2 linked regions of the Oryzias latipes genome follow. The protein of the gene in region 2 interacts with the protein of the main gene of each other region in a pairwise test. Links are inferred from orthologs where the notes say so. Each region holds a gene or a part of one and is shown on either strand. Other genes may lie near its edges. The genes, in order: clip4 and janus kinase and microtubule-interacting protein 2.

Region 1 (3,825 bases), on a different chromosome or scaffold from region 2:
TTGTGTTTTTCTTTAATGTCTGGATGCATTTATCTGACACCCCTCTGGTTCCTCCCTATTGCTCCAATTGTAGGGACATTTGGAGCTGTAGTGGTTTCTGAACTTGTTCTTTTAAGGGGAAGCTGAAGGGATTTGGGCTGAATATTTCTCTGTGTCGCTCTGTGCCACAGAAGAAAAATTCATTTTTCACGTAGGTTTGCTCTGAAGCCCAAAAAATGTACATTTAAATGTAAGTACTGTAAATTCCGGACTACAAAGCGCACCCGATTACTAGCCGCACCCACCCATTTTCACGTGTTTAATTAATTTTATGCATACACAAGCCGCGTCAGAGTACAAGCCGCGCATGTGTTAGGCGATATTGTCATCCTGACAGATCACGGCCAGTATCCCAGAGTGAGTGCAATTCATTAGCACATTGTGGGTGGTTCCAGCTTTGCCTCTGGGTCACGTATTTGGGTGTATCGACATCTGTCAAACAGCATGGACCTCTATTCTGTTCACAAGTTCCTCAGTTATGGTGTTTTTATTTCATTTTTTTTTACTTATTGACAATCTAGGTATCATACATAAAATTACAAACAGTAACCATATAATCAATATTACATCCCTCAGTTATGATGAGGAAATTTACATCCGCGATTCCACATTTCCCATGAGTCTTAGGGGCTAAAGGCGGGGCCAATGCCCGGCTCGCCATTCTGTTGTACGTGTTTAAGAATGAGCAAGTATCAGCAGTGCATGGAGGGGTGAACGGGTACAGCTCTCCTTCCGCTTGTGTCGCGGCAGCGTTATGGGAGTAACAGGGCTGGTTAAAAAACACACCGGTAAAATACAGCAGCGGCGACTGAAAAGCGCGCGCCTCAGCGTGATACGCGCGCCTCAGTGCGGCGCGTGCGTCAGAATTCAGAAGCCTCTGCACTCCGCGGACGCCTCTGCGCTCCGCTCCCGCCCCGCGCGCTCCTTGTCTCCCCTTCCTATCTACTCCGACACCTCTGGCCAGGGCGGCTTCAAGGAGGAGCACTTCGTCCCCGTTGCGCCGGTGAACGGAGCAAATCGTTTCTGTGCAAAGCAATCTGACTTAATACTGTACGTTTTGTGTATGAGGGGCGGATGCGTTGTTACGTGTGGGAGCCTTCAGACTGCCATCGGCCCCGCAGCTCAATCAGCAGGAGAAGATGTCTCCAGCTCACACGGAGGCTGTGAGTTTTTCAAAGCAAAATTCCGCTTTTACGGTTTCCTTAGAAACCGTAAATGGAGTGTAAATTCACTCCATGCGCTGTTCTCTCCGTCACGCAGCAAACCGGCTTTTCCAAACCCGTTGGTGACGGTGGACTTTTTTACGCTGCTTTTAACGATTGCTTTTAACTTGAAAGCTTCATCATATTGTAACGGCGATCTGGTGCACGTTGGGTCTAATGGCACCAAAGGATTCTGGGATGCGGCCGGGCATGCGTGTTTCATTTTGTTGAACCATGACTGAAGTGTCTAAGACCTGAAGTCAAGTCCATGCTGTTTGGCTGCTTAGAGGTGTGTTGAATATAAATGCCTTGTGCTTGGTGTTAGATAAAGAATTCAAACTATTTACTGAGTTCGAAAGTACGTACATGGCGGCCGCTAATTAAATCCATAAATTAGCCGCGTCACTGAATAAGCCGCAGGGCTGTAAGCGCAGGAAAAAAGTAGCGGCTTGTAGTCCGGAAATTACGGTAATGACTTTTTGTTTTAGCATGACTTTTTAAAGTCATAAAACTGATGTTATGTATTTTCAGAGCACTGGCAGCTCCGCACTAATGTAGATGACCAGCAACTATTGATGATGTCATCAAGAGTTAGTAACATTCGAATGGACACTATTATTCTATATCTCTCCGCTTGGAGGGCTAAATGTAGGGGTAGGGAGAAGCAGAAGGGACAGGGGAAGAATTCGGATTCGGTCAACAGTCAGCACTAACCAATGCCTGGAGCCCCAGCCTTGCAACAGTAGTGCAGAAGACTCATATCTGTCAGGCCATCTCGATCATTTACTCCACAGCCCCTCTTCAAGATCTGTGCAAAGACCAGACATGTAGCAAGTCAAAAGGAGATCTCGAATGTCACAAAAATTTAATCCACAAATATTTAATGAATGACAAGTGGCTGGGCTTGAATTAAGATCTGAATAAAGACCATGTGGAAAATAAACATGCAATGGGAGACTATTAGAAACGGAATTAACAATTAAAATACTTAGTAAATCACATTGGGGGGGGGGGGGGGGCAAAGAGTTTAAAATATTATATAATCACCTCACTGCCAATAAGGTGGATGTTTTTCTGAACCTGGGGAACCCACTGCCTGAGGACAGCAAACAGCTCTGGTATGGTGGTGTTTGAATCCTGGAGAATCTCTTTGCATTGTGGCTCGCTGGGATTGAAGAAGGAGAACTCTGGCAGTGATGGGAGACACAGAAATGACAGATATGTAAACATATAAACTCTAATCAAACCTTTCATTTTGCTTAGATTTCATGTAAGGATCAGTTACCCTCAATGACAGTAAAATAAGAATGGGACTGAACAACCCTTCCCTACTCCCGTTCCAATTAGGAAGTACCCAATGGTCCTAAAAAGCCAAAACCCCATAGACTTCTATGGAGAAATGAACAGCTATTACCGTAAATTCCGGACTACAAAGCGCACCCACCCATTTTCACGTGTTTAACTGCTTTTAATCATACACAAGCCGCGTTGGAGTAAAAGCCGCACGCATTAGGCAACATAGTAAACCTGACCAATCACGTCCTGACTCCCAAACTGAGTGAGGTTTAAAACCACACTGTGGGAGGAGTCAGCCTTGCCTTGGGCTCATGCACTTTGAATATACCCACACCTGCTAAAAAGCATGGAACTCTATTCTGTTCACAAGTTCCTCAGTTATGGTTTTTTTATTTATTTATTTATTTTTAGTTTTTTTTACTTATTGACAATCTAGGTATCATACATAAAATTACAAACAGTAACCATATAATCAACATTACATCCCTCAGTTATGATGAGGAAATTTACATCCGCGATCCCCCATTTCCCATGAGTCTTAGGGGCTAAAGGCGGGGCCTCGCCACATTGTTGTACGTGTTTAAGAATGAGCAAGTATCAGCAGTGCATGGAGGGGTGAACGGGAAAAGCTCTCCTTCTGCTTGTGTCGCGGCAGCGTTATGGGAGTAACAGGGCTGGTTAAAAAAAACACACCAGTAAAATAAAGCAGCGGCGACTGAAAAGCGCGCCTCAGCGCGGCACGTGCGTCAGAAGTTTCCTTCCACAACAAACACTGTTGCGCCGCGGTCGCCTCTGCGCTCCTGGCTCACCCCGCGCGCTCCCCTTCCCATCTCCGACACCTCTGGCCAGGGCGGCTCCAGGGAGGAGCAAATCGTGTCTGTGCAGAGCAATCGGACTTAATGCTGTACGATTTGCAGATGAGGGGCGGATGCGTTGTAACGTGGGGGAGCCATCAGACTGCCATCGACCCCGCAGCTCTATGTGATGAGCAGCAGGAGAACATGTCTCCAGCTCACACAGAGGCTGTGAGCTTTTCAATGCAAAATTCTGCTCAGTCCTTAAAAACCGTAAAAATGATCACGTCGATTTGTGTTTCCAGTCGTGTCCCGACAAAATAAAGGCTGATGTTATTCCCACATATTTACGTGCAGCCAGCCGAGTCACTATGACTCAGAGGTAAATTCACTCCTGAGCATGCGCTGTTCTCTCCGTCACGCAGCTGACCAGCTTTTGCAAACCCGTTGGTGATGGTGGATTTTTTCACGCTGCTTTTAACGGAGGAGATTGA
Region 2 (3,825 bases):
CTGGGAAGGGAGAAGACACTCTGATGATGATGATCTGCTTTTATGCCTTAACATGCAAACATGCTTTGTCAATAAGTCAGTCAACAAATGGCTGTAAACGAAATTTTTTTCTCTTATGTCAAAAAGACTGAATGAGATAATTGCTAGAACTCGATTACACTTGTTTTTGTGAACAATGTTAAGTACGGTCTTCTCTTTAAACAGGGCCTAAAGGAAGGACAGCACTCGCTTTGGGCAAGCACCGCCCTTTCAGTATTAGTTTGTGTGGCTCATGGAACTTGTTTCTTCCTGTTTAAGACTATAAATTAAAAAAACAAGCAATTTTGATGTCTTCCCCGTTGTTTTACTAGAAGAGCCATGAAAATTTATTACTGATAATAGTATCTTCTTTATTGTGATAAAATACAGTGAAATTCATTCACAATGTGAGGAAAAAGCTCTCACAACACTTGGGAGAAACAGCTGAACAGAGGGGTCTTGGTGTACTTAACCCTTGTGCTATTTTAGATGACCCCACCCTTACATTGACGTGTTCTCCCTACCATGACAAAGGTGGATAAAGGTGAAGAGGATTTCATGTCATCCATAGACACCACTGAAGATCACATATCACTGATTAAAAAAGTTCAGCGCACTGTCTAGTGGGGTCCAAATGACCCAACTCCCAATGTTAAAGTGCCTAGGATAGCACAAGGGTTACAAAATTGGTTCTAAAACCAGTCTCTCTAAATTTTCCGTCACACTGAAAATTGGCAGAAGTGCTGGAGAAAATGGCGATTAAATTCCAGTCATTTCAGAATCAGAATCAGAAATTCTGATTCTGAAATGAATCAGAATCAGAATCAGAATCATTTAAAGTCAAACCTACCCGTGTAAGTTCATCAATCATGTTTTGCTGTTCCAGGACTTGAAGTTTCAGAAATGTGATTTCCTGGTCATCGTGGGCTTGGTCCAAGTCATTCAGTGACTTTAGCTTCTTGAGAGGAGGATGGGAGCTCATTCTCTCTTTCTGCAGGAGCATGCAAGATGTTAGATCACAAAATCTATAAATCTGTTATGGATGCTAGCGTACGAACCATTTCCAGATTCTCTTTTGTCAGGTTCTTCAGCTTCTCCTCCAATTTTTGGATGGTCATCGTCAAGTCGTCATTTCTTTTACTCAGCAGTTTGTTCTTTTCAAGCAGAGGCTTGCACTGCTTTTCTGTTTCACGAACGCGCTTTAGCTAGTAGAGAGAGACATAAAAAAAAAGGGAATGACCAGGAGTCAGAAGATGGGTAGTCTAAAGGCCTGTCCAAAGTCCGTCTTGTGGGCCAAATAGGATCCTTGGGCTTTTGCCATAAATATGCAGCCCCAGCACTTTCTAAGAACCACGATTTCTTGATTGTGATTGACTAAACTGCGTTTTTAAACCTGTGGCACCAACCTGACCTTCAGAGCCTCTTTTTGTTCTCTGATCAAAACTACAGTAGTTTGTACTTCAGTTTAATATCACTATTTGTTATTTTCCTGTTCACATGATTTATTTTTAGTACTTAATAGAGAATAATATGTGAAATTTCATGTGAACCCAGATGTGACAATGATCCCGTTGCGCAAGAAAAAAAAAATTGTGAAATTGTTCATTTATATTTTAATGTTCAAAGCATGCAGGCTGATTGGTTGGCCTCACACATTTTCACCTCACCAAATCTGGCCCTCTTTGAACAAAGCTTGGACACCCCTGATGTTAGGTTAAGGCCAAAAATATTGAAACAATGGGTTAGATTTCACTTTTATTTGTAGAACTTGGTCATACCAGTTCATTTCTCTCATCGCCCAACAGTGAGTTGCGGTCCTCCAACCTCCGTATGGTTGAGTTCAGGTCAGCAATGCGCCTCTGATTCCTCCTCAAGTCCTAAAGTGAATTAAAAAGGGAAAAAAAGGCATCCAGGTTTACCGCATGACCAGACATCATACAAAAGGTAGTTAAAATAAGAGGCTAGTATAGTTTATTTGAAATAATGTGAATGTTTGACTGGCTCCAAAAATGCGTGGCTTTGTTCGTACAGGGCTGCCGTGGTGCTCGGCTCCATCTCCAGCTCTGCCTGGAATCTCTCTTTTGGGACTTCCCAGGCCGCACTCGGCCTCTTTGGCTATAAACAGCTGTTCATCCAGAGCATCTTTCTGGAGCTGCAGCTTCTGCAGAAAGCCTGTCGTTGACTCCAGTTCCTTCTCCAGAGCAAAAATGGTGCGATCTTTCGCCTTGATTTCATCTACCTAGAAAGAACAAAAATACTGGTGTCATTAGATCAAATGTTCCAGTTTTTGTCTTCGTTTTGATTTAACCGGCAAAGTAAAATTAGAACCAGTTCTCAGAATCAGAATAAGCACAAAGACCACAGAACATTTACATGTCTTAACAGCTCATAGGCCATAAAAGTATGACATAGGCAAAGAAACAAGAAATCTGCTTCTTGAATTTTTTAGTAATCAGGCAGGAGATTTTGTTAATTAAGTTATTTAGATTTTTTTAGTACTAATTTCATTAGGGGTGCAACAGATCATAAAACTCAGTTTGGATTGTTTCACAGCTTTTTAGGACCAGTAAAAAATAAAATAAGTCAAGTTATACCATGGTCCGGGTGAATACTCGATTCTGATTGGCTGCTGGGTGTACATTAAAAAGTGATACCACAGTGATAACCGCATGGTGAAAAAAGAAGTTCAGGTCACCTAGCTTCAATGTTTTGTATCACTTCTTTGAAACAACCCTTTGCTTCATCATTTGGAAAAAAAACAAGCGGTAAGAGGTGAACTTTCTCTCTGAATTGATGCTTTATTCAACCCATCGGAAAGATCAGCATTATATATATATATATCGCCAAATCTTGAAACTGGTTAATATGTATTGCTTTTGTAAGTGACCATGGCATGAGCGGGTTAATGGCCTTCGCCATTAACGCACTTCGTGGAAGCATCCGTCGGACGGTTCAGCCTTCCACGGCGTGCGTTAAAAAGTAATAATGCACACTACGTCGGCCATTAACCCTTACGTACACGTTGTGTTTCGAATCGTGGCTACTGATCTGTACGAATCACAGTTCAGCCAAGATTGGTTGCCCCTCTAGAAATCATAGTTTTTTACCTTTTTTTTTAACCACGTTATTGTTTACCTATAGAGCTTTTTTTGCTAGAAGTATCTTAAATAAGAATTTTGCCTTTCAACTGTTAAGACAATGCACCAAGAATATTCCACATCAAGAGTGTATTTTCATTTTAGTTCAGTTGTTTCAAATTGATTGGTTTTTATTTCAAGCATTTTTGTGCATACCAGTCTGCGAATGTCCCGCTCACAGTCCCACTTGATCTTGGAGATCTGTTCCTGATGCTGCTGGTGCTCCACCCGCAGGTCCCCAGCCTTCATCTTGTCTGCCTGGATCATGTTGCTGAGCGCCTCGTCGGTCTGCTTCTTAGACGACTTCAGCTCTGCGATCTCCTGCAGGAGCTTCACTCTTTCCTGGTCAAAGAAGCGGCGCGCCTCTTCTTTTGCCTCCAACGTGAGTGCGGTACGCACCTGAAGAGCAGAAAGATACAGTGTTCTTGCATCTCTTAACAGCAAACTTGCTTCAGCCATCAACCTTGACCATACCTTCTCGCCGCTGCCATCTCGCATGGCATTCAGTGCAGCTTTGAGTCTCTGGTTCTCCTGGTCTTTGATCTTGGCATGGCGGGCCAGCTCCTGCTCGTGCTGCCGGGTCAGGCTTTCCCTGAGAGCTTGTAGCTCCTTTTGCTTTTCCTCGTGCCATTTGGCTCGCTGCTCCGTTAACGTGGCAGTGTGGCGATGC

The links.
Region 1: the proteins of janus kinase and microtubule-interacting protein 2 (region 2) and clip4 interact in binary tests that used the Homo sapiens proteins (3 or more experiments, as listed by UniProt). The two-hybrid records come from large-scale screens. The link is inferred for Oryzias latipes from reciprocal best matches to the Homo sapiens genes JAKMIP2 and CLIP4.

What each region holds. Positions count from the first base shown.
Region 1 is NC_019880.2:28,201,090-28,204,914, forward strand, and holds part of clip4 (CAP-Gly domain-containing linker protein 4), read right to left. Parts: intron 2,429-3,825; coding exon 2,289-2,428; intron 2,050-2,288; coding exon 1,956-2,049; intron 1-1,955.
Region 2 is NC_019872.2:5,582,472-5,586,296, reverse strand, and holds part of janus kinase and microtubule-interacting protein 2, read right to left. Parts: coding exon 3,630-3,825; intron 3,555-3,629; coding exon 3,312-3,554; intron 2,258-3,311; coding exon 2,048-2,257; intron 1,896-2,047; coding exon 1,797-1,895; intron 1,224-1,796; coding exon 1,077-1,223; intron 1,010-1,076; coding exon 869-1,009; intron 1-868.